Caenorhabditis elegans: one gene and its partners. The protein of the gene in region 1 purifies or fractionates together with the protein of each later gene. This does not show direct contact. Each region holds a gene or a part of one and is shown on either strand. Other genes may lie near its edges.

Region 1 (5,607 bases):
AAAATAAATTTAATGTATGTATATCAACTATTTCAAGATGAAGGGCGAAGAGGTACTTGAACATTAAAGATTCTCTCAAAAAAGGGGGAAAGGGTACAGATATATTATGCTTTCTCGTTTTTCTGTTAGCAATATACTCTCAGAAAGACAGAGCAACACAAAAAAACAAGATGGGAAGTCATCAGTTGGTCTGGTGTGTGTGTGTGGGTGCTTGCTTGTTGAATTACAGAGATTTTCGGTGTTGATGGTGTTACAAGAAAAGTTTTGGAAATCCGAAAGCGAAACAGGTAGAATTATATATTTTTTTGTTGGGAGGAGAATGGTTTAATTACGAGAATGATTCAGGTTGTGACGTGTTTTAGAGGGGGAGCTTAAAGTAACTGTACTGCAATAATAATTCACGAGTTAGGAAAACAAAAGAAAGAAGAAAGAATAAGGGAAAATGTAATATAGCGAAAGTTCAAAGTTGTGGGTGTGTGTGTGGCGAGATGAATTGGGGGAGTTGGGGGTTGAAATAAAAACCTAGTTGCTCTCTTAATTACTACGAGTGTTACTGGTTACTGGAAAATTACTTAGGCCTCGCTCTGTCCGCCTTGTCCTCCACGGCCTCCGCGACCGCGTCCACCGCGTCCACGGCCTCCACGACGGCCACCACCACGTCCTCCGCGTTCACCGCCCTAAAATATGGATGTTAAATTTCGATCAATTTAGAGTTTTGAGAATTTTAGAATGAAAAAAAATTGGATCTAAAAATACTAGTTTTAAAACCCACAAAACAAAAAAACCTACATCTGTGTCACGAGCAGTCTCCTCTCCACCACTGTTGGTACGGCCACCACCACGTCCACCGCCACCACGACGGCTTCCACCACGACCACCTCCACGTGGAGCACCACCTTCCTCGGCGTCTCTTGATCCAGAGTCGTGTCGGATTCCACCACGTCCTCCACGTCGTCCACGTCCGCGTCCACCACGTCCACGTGCTGCATTTTCAGCATCACGATCGGCAGCATACTTGGATCCTTGAACTGGTCCTCCATCTGGTCCTGTTACGCTGGCCGCTTCGAGACCCTTGGATCCTTCGACAATGTCGAACATGACCTCTTCATTGTCTCCAAGACTTCTCAAGTACTTGTTCGGGTTGTTGTTGATGATGGCGGTCTGATGGACGAAGATGTCTTCGTTGGTGTCAGTGCGGTTGATGAATCCGTATCCGTTCTTAACGTTGAACCATTTCACTGTTCCCTTCACTTTTGTAGCCTTCACTGGCTTGTCAGCTGGTTGCTCTGCCACGTCCTGAAATAAAACGATAATTAAGAAATTAATTAAAATTGCAAGATTTGCTTTAAATTTAGAAATTTTCAAATTTCATATTTAGAGCTCAATTGCTCTGGATTTATTAGGATCTCGGAAAGAAACGAATTTTAGAGCTCATTTTTCTTGTCTCGTTATTTTCAAATCTCAAGGAACATTGCCACTTCAAAAAACGTCAGCTGACCGCAATAATGAAAGTGTTGTTTTCCGAAAATTGTCTCAAATATTTTATTTGTATTTTGGGTGGTGGTGGTGGTCGCGTTGACCGATGACCCTCCATTCCGCGTGCTCTCCTTTCGCAGGAAAAGTAGCCTCGTCGGATCAAAGATCATAGAGACACACACTTACGTTTTTCTCGGCCATTGTTCCGCGCGCTTCTGTTCTTCCTCTGGTCTTACCGGCTGTTACTTCGTGTGGCGCGACACAACGATTGAAACCCTCGCTGAAAAAATATGAAAATTATGAAGAGTTGAAATTTGTGTGGGGTCAAGAAGCTCAAATTGGAAGAAAAAAGAAAAGAAATTGATAATCATAGGGAATAGCGGAAAAAAAAACAAAAATTATACGTTTTATCCGGTGTAGCACAGGGACATTTTTGGTCGAGAAATCATAAAACGGGGGTGGAAAGTTTTAAATAATTATTTAATTTTTCGTTTTCATACTTTCTATCAAAATTATACCTTCAAAAATTATTAAGAGCTTCGTCAGTCTTTCTTGTTTCAATATTTTCACAAAAATGTTATTTTTAATGTGATAATTTAATTTTTAAATCAGGAATTAGTTTAGAAATGTAGGAAAACGTTTGTTCAACCTGAAAAATTTGCCATTAGAAGTGACTTTCATATATTACTTGTAGTTTTTTCTCGAAATTTTCAAGTAATAAATATTATTTTCAGATCGAAAAAGCATTTTTCTGCATATTTAATGCAAATTTTTCATTTTAAAACTTAACACTGAAATTGACAGTTTTTACGTATGCGGTAGCTTTTGCCTTCAACATCAAATTATTCTCCTCATTCTCATCCTAATAACAAGAGTAATAAGAGAAAAAGTAGTGGGGGCGAATGAGTGCGAGTGTGTAAGCTGACCTTTCGATGCGGACACCAACATTAAACGATTGTTAGATACGAGAGAGATGTTGAGAGGTGCGGGAGACGGATGAGCAGCGGTCAGTGTAACAGAAAAGTTATTGGTTGATGAAGAAGTACACGCCGGAGCAGCTCTCTTCACTGAGCCCCGAGCCTCGCAGCTGACAAAATAGAGAACAAAAACAGAATAATCGATAAATGAAAGAGGTGTGCGCGGTTAGAAGAGAGAAAGAGGAGGAAGAAGAAAAAGAACATGAGGTTTCAATCCTTTTTTGGTTCGAAGAACTTCGCGTGACTTTAGAGAACTCTAGAGGCAGAGACACATGATTTTCGAACTATTAAGACTCAAAATAGGGGATTTAATCAAATTACTATTTAAGATAAAAATTTCTGACTTGCGAGGGTATCTTTTGAAAAATTAAATATTTTTCTCTAATAAAAAAGAGCAATCCTGAATATTTGACTCAGTTTGTCGTGGAAACCCGTTTTCATAGATATGCGAATTTTAATGAAGGTATATGTAAATCTACATCCATATTCTAATTTCTGAAAGACCAGAAAAGCAAATTTTTGGGAGAATCTAAACCTAGAAACTTCTTCTCCGAAACACTCCCCAATAAACAACGATTGTTTTCTCGAAGACCGAAAATTGCGAATTTAGGAATGTTCAGGTGGTTGTTGGGAGGAGGAGAAGGCGGCGAAACGAAACAAGAAAATTTTTGACCCGATTCCGTGCTACAATGCCTTTTGACCTTGCAACATTCTGCAGCAGCATACCAACAACGCCGTTGTTTGCCCTGTGTTAGCTTGAATGTTTTTGGGTGGGGGGTTTGCGTATTTTTCGAGCAAAGTGAGATGGTAAAATACTAGTAGTTGGTGAAACGAATAGCACTGTAATATTGAACAAAACTGGAGGAAGGTAGGCAACGCAGAATAATAATGAGATGGTCGAGAGAGAAAGAGATGAAGAAACAAAGAGATAGTGAACGAGCAAACAATAAACATTTGATAAGCGAATTGATGATGAGCCGGAGCACTGTCACAACACGGCCGATTCGAATGGTTCAAATACAATCGAAAGCGAAGAGAGAGAGAGAGTAAATGAACACCGAGGGGTACGTGTTGTATGCGTAGTTTCGACTGGGAGGCCACCACTGCTCGACCCGTCCGCCCTTCCCCTGCTGGTGCTATTTCGCCGTTCCTTGCACATTCTCGGTCTCCGATCTCTCTAGTTTCGGTCGGCCCGGGGCTTGTGTTGTTGGCCTCATACACACGAAGAGAAGAAGAAGAAGAAGAAGAGCGCAAAGGGTTCTCTCGCACACTCACATACCCCCACACACACACACGCACACGCACTCACGCACTGCTGCTGGCGGATCGATAGAGTGCTTGCTCTTTTTCTCTCTCGGCTTAAATGTGCTGCACAAAACTAAATAATGCATAATTTATCTGAAGAATCTCTGAAAACGTTGAAATAAAGAGCTAGAATGCGGAAACAAATTAGAAACTATACGCAGAAGGGGATTAAGAAATGCGAGCGAAGAAAACATTTTTTCTTCGCTTTTTTGTTTGGAGGACGACAATTAGATCGGCGGGAGACAAAATAGGTGAATTCCCGTGGATTTATTGATGGGAAACAAACAAAAGTAGACCACCCAGTCGGAAACCTTGTTCGAAATGGTTTTTGAGCGGGAAGACACCGCGGAAGAGGAGAAAATTGATGAAAATACACTAAAAAATTATTTAATTTTATAATTTTGCAGAAAAAAACTCGAAAAACGTTTTAAAAAAAGGCGAAAATGAAGAAAAAGAAGTTTGAGTTCGAAAAAAAAATATTAGAAAAATCAAATTTTGCTAATCGTTTCGATACCCATCGCTTGATAGGTATGCGCCTTTAAGATGATTACGGTAGGCATCAAATTTTCAGGCACAGAAAAAGTGGGCGTTTGCCGGGAACTGAACGGAATTTAAATGTTTAAATCAAAATTGATATCTAAAAAAAATTTCATTTTGAAATTTTGCGCAATCAAGTTGGCAATTTCATCAAAGGAACCCTAGGAGCAGGGATAAAATATTTTTAAAAACAAAAATTATGCTAGTGTCAAAATTGCATCATTGGTTATACTGGGTGATTCAATGCAGTTTCAGATAAAATCTAATCTTCGACAATCTCGGCCTTGCCTTTTTGATTACGTCATTGTGCGTTTTTTGTTGATAACCATTTATCCCAACCATTTATTTAGTTAATTACATGGGAAATATCAAAGATTGAGGCCAATTGATCAGTAACCAGGGCTGACACGTGGAATGGGACAAGCCGAACATCCTCCAGCAGACCCAGGAGGCCCAATATCTCCTGGTGGGCCTCTCGGGCCATTCAAGCCAACACGACCAGGAGCTCCTCGATTTCCAGGTGGACCCATTGAGCCCACTTGTGAAAATCCATCGATTCCTTTCGGTCCAGGAAACCCCATTGGTCCAGGTGGTCCAGATGGTCCACTTGGTCCTTCGACACCTCTTGAGTCTTGAGTCATTATGCCTGGATCACCTGGTGGGCCGCGAGGACCAATGCCTCCCGGATTACCGGGTGGGCCTGGAGGACCTGGGGGGCCTGGTGGGCCTGATGTAATATAGAAGTTTTTTGGGCCAGTTGGACCTGGAGTACCGCGGGGGCCCTGTAAGTAAAGACTGACTGATTGAAAAGTTTTAACAAATAGGCCTACTTTTGGTCCTGGAGGCCCTGGCGGCCCACTTCTCGCTGGTGGGCAATCAAAGCAGAAATCATCAATTTCTGGAAGTACGGTATCTGGAACATTAGCTCCAGGAACACCAGGATAACCTTCGGATCCATCGTCCCCGTCATTTCCATCAAGGCCCGGAATTCCAGGAGGCCCAGGTGGACCGAAAATACAGAATTGCTGAAACTAAATATGAAAAAACTCAGGTCAGGCAGGAACTACCCACCTGCTGTGGGCTGTGAACAATGGGTTGTTGAATCACTGGCTGCTGAACTACAACTGGCTGGGAGCATCCTCCACCTCCACCACATGAATGCACTGGATGTATAGCACACCCAGTCTCCTGACCACAATCCGATGGTCCACCACAATTTGTCACATCGTTACAGTAATTCATGAAGAATTGGCGTTTTCGACGTTGGGAAATTGCAACTCCTTTTGACGTTTCGAGCTGGAAAAGGAACCGT
Region 2 (4,494 bases), on another chromosome or scaffold:
TTATAATCACAATCAAAAATTTATTTCCCTCCTGGGAAACCGTAACGTCCGTATCCACCAGTTGGTTGTTGGAATCTGTTGGATCTGTAGTCGTTTGTCCCCAATGAGTTTGACGTCTCCAGTCAGCACACAGGTCATTGAGATTGCGCTCGTAATTCCCACGGCGTCCATAATCGGAACGTACCTCGTTGCGGTTGTAATCCCACACGCCTTTCTGCAATATTTATTTTGAGTTTAAAATTCTGGCTAACAAATGCTTCTGATCAAGAAAATGCAGTTAACAAACCTTTTCAAGGAATCTCTCATAAGAACTTGGCTATCCGTAACGGTTTCCAGGTTCAGCGAAAGCAGTAGCTAACAGCATTGCAAAGGCAAGGAAACTAGCAGATGAGTTCATCTTAACTGATGATGATCTGATCACAAAAACCGCTTCTTTTATGTTGTTTAATTTTTACACAAAATTTTTGAAACTGTTTTTTTTTGTTGTGACACATAGTTCCGCCAATTTCCTTGTATTTGATAAGAAACGTTCTTCATCCAATAGGGAGAACAATGTAAGAAACCATGAAATCACCGAATAAGCGGAAGCTAAAAATGATGTCATTTCAAAAAGATGAGACTCAAATTGCTTCAAAGGTCAAACGATCATCGATACTTTATTTTGTAGAAAAAAATCACTGTAGTCTTCTACCGTGATTGACTATTTCAGTGACCTAGTCGTATTGTATGTAGTGTATTTGAGCAGAGCTATATTAGTGCACAGAAACATCCTTCACGTGCCAACTACCGTTCCACTCATCAACATTGTTGCCGATTTTGGAAATTTCTTTGTTAAATTTCAGTACCAACCAAAATTACAACAAGATTGCCCTTTTGTTCGAAATTGTCGATCACCTGTGGATAAAAGGATCGGGTGACTCCCCGAACTGTTGGTGCACCAAAAAAGGATTTGCATTACGTTTATTTTGCTCGAGTTACTGTTTAGTTTACTGATGCTCAGATCGCATTCGCTGCTGTCACTTCTGCTGGAATAGTCACAGAACATTTCAATGTCCTCCGATTTATATGATGTTTCTTTTCCTGTCATGTGTGCATTCATATTTGACACTGAACTGAACTGATCTCCTAAATTTCATCAGTAAAATTTTTTTGTTGTCAAGCTTTGAAACTTCGTGATTAGAGCTTATGAGACGGTAGTTTGAAAGTCAAACTAGTGTCATTTTCTCAAATTCAAAGTTTCGATTTCTGAACAGCACAAGATGCACTTTTCCTGCTCCAAAACTTTTGAAGTATTACCAGGCCGCTTCAAATTCGTTGAAGTAATTTGTTTTGGCTTCCATTTTAAACATTCCGTCGAGATCATGGAGAAACAATCTCCAAAAGCATGGCTTTCAATAAAAAATGCAAAAAAAATCAAGGATAGTGGCACTTTTGTGAAGCTTCCAAAAACATACAAGTTAAGTTTTTAGCTCAGTTCTGCAAAAATGAAGAACCATCCAATCAAAAATGCCAATTTTTGCTTTAGAGTACACAGAATCGGAGTCCAGTCAGCATTGAAATGTCTTCATTTACACCGTCAGGCTTCAAGTCTGTTCAACATCTAGGAAGTTTCCATATTTTTGAGAGAGTTCCATTTCTCGAAATTTACCGCAAATATTCATGATGTGCTCTTGTGGATCTAATAACAAAACTGATTTCCAGAATTTGACAAAAGTGACAAACTTTTTCTGTCATGATTATTTTTTCAGACCTTGTGAACTTGTGAAAACATGTATTGAAAAATTGAAAATTTCGATGTTTCTGGTAAAAATGCAATGTGACATTTATTGAAGGAAAAACAAACTAGTCAAATTATAAAAGAAATACTTTTTAACAATTACTTTCCTCCTGGGAATCCGTATCGTCCGTACCCTGCAGATGGTTGCTGGAATCGGTTTGATCTGTAGTCATTTTGTCCCCAACGAGTTTGTTTCTTCCAGTCATCGTACAAATCGTTGAGATTACGCTCGTAGTTTCCACGACGTCCATAATCAGAACGAACCTCGTGTCGGTTATAATCCCACACACCTTGCTGAAAATAATTTTGCTTTTAGAGATTTTTCAACAAAAATAAGTATGACAAACCTTTTCAAGGAATCTCTCATAAGAACTTGGCCATCCATAACGGTTTCCAGGTCCGGCAGTGACAGTTGCTAAAAGCATGGCAAACGCCAGGAAAACGGCAGTAAAGTTCATCTTGACTGATGATGTCCTGACCATTGATTCCTTCACTATTTATACTCCTTTTAAAGCTACGCCTCTTAAATTTAATGTCTAATTTTCACATTGTGTTTTTGAACTATCGGCCGCTTCGTTCATCTATTTTTTTCATCGAATTCTCGGTTACCCGGGAAACACAATCTCGATTGTAACAGTTTTCTGACAAATCAGAACGCCACCAAACAAAGATTGCGTTTCGGGAAGTGAACTGATAGCGAATAGATCAGGTTCAAATGAACAATTTAGTAATACTATTTCAAAATCCAAAATTTATATTTGTGATTGAATAATTTGTGCTCACCAACTAGATGATTTTTTGGAAGATTTTTTAAAAACGTTTTTGTGGTTGTATTTTGTGCCACTGCAAACGGTGATAAACTATAATATTCTATTATATTAACTACTTCATAATATTATTCCAAGGCAAAGGAAGTATGTTCCTCATTATTAAATTAAGAATAAAGTTCAACAATCAAACTCAGATAATAGCTGAACGTGAGAAAATTGTGTAGAAGCCTGGAAATAATTGTTTCAGGTTTTGATTATTGTCGCTTTGAATAGAAGTACTCGAAAAATGAAAACATGGTCTTTTTCGAAAATCGCCTCCCCAGAACGATCTCTCATAAGATTGTTTTCGGCAAGTTTTAGTAAAATCTGAGGTGAACAATTGAAGATAAATCGTGGCCGAGTTCTGGTTTTTTTAGGCCACGTAGTAAAAACCCTCTGTGAACCTTCTATCTTTTTGATAACATCTGTATTGATATATCTCGCATGAAAACAAAAGTTTTTTATCTGATCTTTACTTCAGTGAAAGACTGCTGTGAATTTACTCATTGTTTGAAACGTTAAGTTTTGTTAATAAGTCCATTTTTGAAATTCAAAAACATTTTGCAATCCTTATAAATGTTCACTTTGCAGTTACCATAATTACAAAAAATTACGAATTTTATTTGAGATTTTGTAAAACTAAGACAAAAACGATAGAATTATTAACAAAAAACGCCAAAATTTGTGTTTATCCCTTGAATCCGTAACGGCTATTTCCTCCAGTTGGTTGTTGGAATCTGTTGGATCTGTATCCCTTTCCTCCCCATTGGGTTTGTCTCTTCCAGTCGTCGAAAAGATCACGGAGGTCACGCTCGTAGTTCTTGCGTCCTCTGTAATCAGCACGGGCTTCGTGTCTGTTGAAGTCCCAAACTCCTTGCTGTAAATTACTTATTTAAAACTTTATTTTAAAACAATAATTTACTCACTCTCTCAAGGAATCTCTCGTAAGAGCTTGGCCATCCGTAACGGTTTCCTGGTCCAGCAGCGACGGTTGCCAAAAGCATGGCGAAAGCCAAAATAATTGCCAAAGAGTTCATTGTAGTCGAATGATGAATTTCTTGCCAAATTTTCTTTATTTATACTGTTTTTCTCAGGTACGCCTCTATATGTGCGGTCCAGTTTATACGTTGAATCACTGACCTCTGTTGTCTCCTACGTTGCATTTCGTCAATCTCTTTATCATCATTGCATCGGTTGCTAGATGTGGTGTTACGTTTTTACAAAGTATCACGATTGTGAGGTGTCAGGCTGATTAGATGAATTAAAACGGAAATAACATCATTTGAAATACAATATTTCAGATAGTTCAGGTTCAGAACCATTACGTTTTCTGTGAATCATCTGAGGTTCAGATGACTAAACAGTTAAATTTGTAGACTACGTGGCTGCTGAGTTGTTGCTCTTAAAGCACGGTATTGATGAATCCACCAATGAATATTTAATTTCAACGCAGTGATTTAGTTTCCTACTACATTTCAGTATTAATCAGTGAAAGTAATTTAATGAAAAAACTGAAAAACATTGCTGAAAATAATGATGAAAACTCTAAAGGTTTCATGGGAAATCTGAGAAATCTTAAAAAGTTCGTTTTCGTTATTTCCCATGTATATTTTTTCCCACAATTGACCCCGAAACTATTTTACGGTTTAAAAGGATCACTTTACCATTAACATACTCTTTCCCGTGATTATCAAGTTAAGCCCTAACATTTATTTTCGACAGTTTATTTACATATTGAATTTGAGTTTATTTAACTAAAAGAAGAGAAATAAACAAGTAAAACGAGACGAACCCTGAGAGAGTTCAACTCGAGTAAAAGTTTAAAAAAAAATGAAGTAAAAAAATAGTTTATTAATTATTTGGTATTTTAATTCAACTTGATAAATTAAAATTTTGCATTTTCATTTA
Region 3 (5,607 bases), 2.5 Mb from region 1:
GATACACGTGTTGAACTCTTCAACTTTTATAAAACATCCGGTTTACAGGTCAAAGAATCTTTACCTACTTTTAACAGGTATGTTTTAAGCCTACACTTATTTAATTTATTAGCTTTCTCAAGTACCAAATTAATTTGAATTTTTTAAACAATATTTGGTTTAAGACATTTTCGATTGAACAAATATTGTGAATTTATCATATGTATGCAAAAATCTAAATCTCTAGAAAACACGGGAAAATTAACCGGATTGAACGTTTCTTTAACAAAGCTAATAATTTATGTGTTATTGTTTTCAAATACAAAAAAACAACTCATTTAAAAACTAGGTGATGAATAAGAAACCAAAAGAAATTTATATTTTTTCAAGTAGTATTCGATTTCTCGCGTCTGGTGTCCACCTCAAAAAAAGCAGATTCGTGTTCAATTTGAAACAAAAAGAAGAAAATCATTCAAGCGAAAATTCAAAATTGAAAACATAAAAAGAGAAACATATATCTAAAACCATGTCAAAGAAAGCTTTTACATGTCATTTTTTAAAACTACTAACGACTAAAAAATTGAAAAGTGACGACACGGCGATAGTGGTTGTTATTCTATTTTTGACGGGTGGAAGACGAAACGAACGAGGACAATTTTGTTGAAGAGAAAAAGGAACGGGCGGTCCGTCGGGAAATGAGTGAATATGAGACGGCTCAGCCACGCCCATTTTCTCTTTATTTATTCTTTGATCCGTCATATTCTTTTTTCAGATATTTTGAGCGGCGATTCTGAAATTTGCAAATTATATTCAATGCCTGATATGCTTGTTTTAAATTTCTGATGCGAATCAACAATGCAAACTCAATTTGAACTATTACACGGTCTTAACTAAGTTTTTGTTCATACAAACGAGGTTTCAGTTACAGAAGTTAAGAAATTCAGCACGATACTTGTAGAAAGTTTTTTAGTGCACCATTGGCAGATTTCTACAGCTCGGTTTGGAAAAGCTGGTAACGTGCCCTTGAAAGCTGTCAAATCAAAAATGAAAACAGCGTCAATTTCAAAAACATTGAACCTTATTCTTGAACTAATTTATAAACTAAAATAGACAATACAACAAGTATGCTGATAATTGGTAAACACGTGTCTAGACTTTAAAATCCCATTAGAAAGGTCGAGTTGTTACCAAGAAGCTTTTAAAGTTTTCCACGCCTCTTGTTTTTGTTAAAATTAAGTTTTGAAGTCAAGCAGAGAAAGGTATAAGTACGCAAAAAAACAATATGACCGTTCCAGTAAGTGAAGATATTTTTATAAAAGTGAGCCAAAATAACCTAACAAGATACATCGATATGTTTCTTTTCAGACTGAAAGTTGAAAGAACGAATGGAAATTCTAGGCACTATTTTGATGAAGCTTGAAAAACGTATAAATCACAGGTGTCTCTTGTCAAAAACGGTTGCTTTACGAGTCATTAAACATTTCCAGGATTGCGTTTATAGGAAAGCGTTTAGAACTGAAAAACTTAAAAACTCTAGGAATTATTCTTTAGTAACATATTTCCTAGTCAATCGAAAAACAAAAGAAGCATCTGACTAAGATTCTGGTCAGATATCTCCCAGTACCGGAAATGAAATCGCTTCTTTTCTCTTCAACTATTCCTAGATTCAGAATCAAATGAAAGTGAATCGAAAAGCAACTCTCCGTGCAACTTCATTTATAAATCAAATTTAGTCAATTGTTGTGCGTGTATAAGAGAGAGTGTGTGAGATGATGGAACAGAAACAAATTACCTACGGATGATGATGGAACAAGAAGGCAAAAGAAAAAACGAGTGAATTCATGGAGGTGGATTGATAGTTTTTAAATAAAATGGAAACCAAAATTTTCTGATAATTTATTTGAAATTAAATTCTCAGTTATGTTTTGAAAAAAAGCAAAAAAAAAAGTTAATGAAAACAAGAAAAATAACACGAGCACTTGATGATGGGTTATACTTGAATTCTGGAATGGAATGTCAAGCAGCACCATTCATACAGTGAAAGTTTTGCGGGGTGGAACGGGGGAATCAGGATTCATGAGCAGTTGGCAGGGGGTTCCTTTGACGATTTATTCCTTGGTGCTGACCTTCCATCCGAGGATAGCCTCTTCTCCGATAGCAGAGACAACTTGGACCAAAACGGATCCCTCGTCCTTCTCATAAGCATCACGGATCTGTTGTCCGAGCTCAGTATCGGGAAGCTTGAGGTCATCCTTTTGCTCGCAGGACTCTGGGTCCATGAGGGAGCAATATCCGTCATCGATGGCCATCAACTGAAAGAACAAGCATATTGAAAATTGAATAAAAATTTAGTGATAGTTTAGCAATATGAAATTTTGGAAAACCTACCAAGTACTCACGACGCTTGACGACTGGAACATCCATGTTGTGGGTGGATGGACAGATATCTTCAAGCTTCTTGCTGGTGAAGATGTCGATGGCGACCATGTGGACCTTAGCGTGACCGTGCTTTCCGGTCTTGGAGGTCGACATTTCGACGATCTACAACTTTCAGATAACTTTTATGGTTACGCAAAGTTGATTTGTCCACATTCTAGAAGCATGGTGCTACGATTGTATGTATACTTTTTTTTTATTCCTCAAATATTTTTTGCAATTTTAAAATGTTAATATTTAAATTAGAACTAAAATTCAAATTAACTGTCTTAGAATTTCCTTCCGGTAAAAGCATGGCGGGGTGTCTCTGATCCGCCTCTTCACTCGCCTCTGAGAATATAAATATCTGGCCTATCTAATGTTTAGACTAACAGTTTTTAGGATTAAATCATATCATCTTATCTGGGTATTTTGTGAGCTAAATAATTTCAGGAGTTTTTTGTTTTGGAATTAATTATCAATTTGGTAAGCTTTCAGTTTTTGTAAAAAACTATGAGTGAATAGTTTATATAACTATATATATAGTTCTTTCATATTTATTGGGTTTTTGTTTGAGAAAAAGTGCTCAGCAGTTTTAAAAAGTTGGCATCACCAAGTTTCAGCCGAAACTTATCCAAGTCATTCATCGCACTTTTTCACAAAACATCTTCTAAGTTTATTTAATTTTTCAACATTTTAAAACAAAGCGAACCTTGCATGGGCGTCCCTTGATCATGACATGCTCGTTCTTACGGAGAGCAGAGCACTGCTTTGGGAATGTGGCAGCAGCTCCAGAGTCTCCGGTGTGGAAGTGCTCGTCGTCGTGATGATCGTCAGACATATTGGTACCCTACAACGCACAAGTTAATTTTTTAAATGATAACAATATTTAAGAATAAATAAAAACCAGAAAAAATATAGTAAAGCGTCAAATACATAGTCCTTAAGAAATGGGGACCTAGATCCAATTTGATAAATCTACTAGTTTTTACAGCCATTTCAAAAAAGTCAGCAAATTGAATGTATCTAAATTGATTTAAACCATAATAACCTAAAAATGATGACAAATAGAAAAAACATCATCAATCAATAATTTATCATATCAACTTAGCATATTGTAGGTAGATACTATATCTAAGACAAAAACCAAGCATTCCCTAATACTTACACAGTTTTGTCTTGAAAATCACAAGAAAACAGTCTGAAACTTTTCAAAAAAAGACTTTCAAAAGTTGCCTAAACAGTTGCGAAGGTCTTACGTAAATACGGTTGAACTCGGTATCCCATCACTGTGTGTGGGTCGCTACGCAGGCAATAACCAACCGCGTGGCCGTCGACGGAGCGTGTATGCACCGGTCTTGCAGGGTTGAGACGGTGGTGTAATGGTGGAGACACTGACAAACATACAATTTTGCAGTTTTGGAGAAAACGGAACATATCGAGACAGAGGAGCGGGAAAATGGAGACAAATAAGAGTTAAGTTGTAGGTTATTGTAGTAGATAAGATAAGAGTTGTAGTAAGTGAGTATACTAAAAAACGGGCATGAAAACAATTTAGATAAGTTTTATTAATTTTAAACATTGAATTAAAATTACATTCATGAGCTGGTTAGTAAATATATTTATTATATATGGTTTACTATATGTACAGTTTACCAATTTGTTCCAGACCTACTAATCTATTGACAACTAGTGTGTCTATTCAATTTGGTAATTATTCAATTTTTCCCTACTTAAAAGTTGAACAAATTTGTTTTTGAATTTATTATAATGTATTAATAATAAAAGCAGAAACAAGTAAGATACAAGTTATTAGACAAGTTATTAGAAGTTATTACACTACAAAAACTATCATAAAATACATTCGTGTAGTTTGAGGGGAAAGGAAGTATATCAAAACATGGTAAGTTAGTTATGGATTGAACCCCCCGACAACCTAAATATTCATGACTTTTACACAACTGTTTTTGTTGCCTCAGCTCCTGCTTAAGTTTTAAAAAAACTTGGATTGAACTGATTATGAGCATTGTAGTCACCAACGAAGATCTCATTAGATGTTGCAGTCTCTACTGAAGCTGCTGAAAAATTTAGATTTATTTAGTTTTAGGATATTTTAGGACATATTTTAGGAAATTGACAAAAACATATTTTCTACGAGCTTTATACTTCAATTGCGTTTTTTTTTTTGGAAAATTTGGCAATTTACCAAAAATTTGAAAAATATTAAATTATCCTATTTAAATTTTCACGTTTTGCTCAACCGCTTCTGGTTCGTTTTTTAAAAATTTATTTCTGTACTTACGATTTCTAAAAATGCCAACTTGTATGAAGACTAATTCACAAAAAGTGATTTTTACAAAAAATGGAGCTGTGGCAACTCGAAAAATTGAAGATCCTACTTCTTTCACTGTGAGTTAGACGGATTTTGAAACGTTTATTTTGCAAACTGAAAATTCAAAAATCAAATGGATTCTTGTTCAGATGTCGTATAATTGTGTGAACAATTATCTTGCTGATGCATCTTGTGATCCTCAAAGAATGACTGTAACATGTTGCCAATCGGAAAATGGAAGGAATTTTGTTTCATTTGCAATCAGTGAAGTTTCTCGTCGAACTGCTACAGAATTAGTCGATTCAAAATATTTTGAAGCTGCGTTCAATTCGGCTGATAATCGGAAATCGCTTCGTAATGCTTGTGAAAAAGCAAAACGATTTTATATGGAGGTACTTCGATCTTTTCAAGATTCAAAGAACAAAGATCAAAGAAAACAATTTTGTAATAATTATCGTATGTCTAATAATTAAAATTGGCAAAAAAGGTCATCTAGATTATACCTGCACGGTGTAGTCAGTTTGGAATTTTATGTGAGTACAGTAAATAGGTTCGGTGCGAGATATCTTACATGTGTACATACTCATATAGTTCCCCAGCTGATAGACCAGAAATTGCGAGAACTTTATATCTTAAAGATGTGCCATGCTTTTCTATTGGTGGCTCATAATAAAGTCGCTCCTTTCTAAAATAAAATACCCGTGCCTCCTGGAAGTCAATTCTTCTGAATACTTAAGCAACGTGCTACTTTGATGTGAATATCTTTTGTAAAAAATAATATTGAGAATGAATAATAGTCTACAGATTAGCTTCCAATTCATGCACGTATCTCTAAATTCTAATTTCCAGCACATTCTCTACCACAATCCATTTCCCCCGAA

The links.
Region 2: the proteins of cey-1 (region 1) and spig-20 purify together in Caenorhabditis elegans (affinity purification with mass spectrometry, with the first as the bait; one large-scale study listed by BioGRID). This does not show direct contact.
Region 3: the proteins of cey-1 (region 1) and iff-2 purify together in Caenorhabditis elegans (affinity purification with mass spectrometry, with the first as the bait; one large-scale study listed by BioGRID). This does not show direct contact.

What each region holds. Positions count from the first base shown.
Region 1 is NC_003280.10:11,039,451-11,045,057, forward strand, and holds the start of cey-1 (CSD domain-containing protein), read right to left. Parts: upstream 1,757-5,607; 5' UTR 1,678-1,756; coding exon 1,663-1,677; intron 1,297-1,662; coding exon 790-1,296; intron 678-789; coding exon 573-677; 3' UTR 1-572. Other genes in the region: col-83 (Nematode cuticle collagen N-terminal domain-containing protein), read right to left, coding at 4,685-5,077, 5,126-5,320, 5,367-5,591.
Region 2 is NC_003284.9:6,083,882-6,088,375, reverse strand, and holds spig-20 (Neuropeptide-Like Protein), read right to left. Parts: upstream 2,253-4,494; 5' UTR 2,236-2,252; coding exon 2,125-2,235; intron 2,072-2,124; coding exon 1,877-2,071; 3' UTR 1,809-1,876; downstream 1-1,808. Other genes in the region: C45B2.8 (Transposase), read right to left, coding at 13-214, 287-306; C45B2.2 (Neuropeptide-Like Protein), read right to left, coding at 3,275-3,463, 3,513-3,623.
Region 3 is NC_003280.10:8,557,721-8,563,327, forward strand, and holds iff-2 (Eukaryotic translation initiation factor 5A-2), read right to left. Parts: upstream 3,245-5,607; 5' UTR 3,236-3,244; coding exon 3,107-3,235; intron 3,053-3,106; exon of another isoform or gene 2,971-3,052; intron 2,521-2,970; coding exon 2,368-2,520; intron 2,292-2,367; coding exon 2,088-2,291; 3' UTR 1,861-2,087; downstream 1-1,860. Other genes in the region: F54C9.14 (PID domain-containing protein), read left to right, coding at 4,708-4,803, 4,876-5,118, 5,576-5,607. UniProt on the Caenorhabditis elegans protein: Translation factor that promotes translation elongation and termination, particularly upon ribosome stalling at specific amino acid sequence contexts.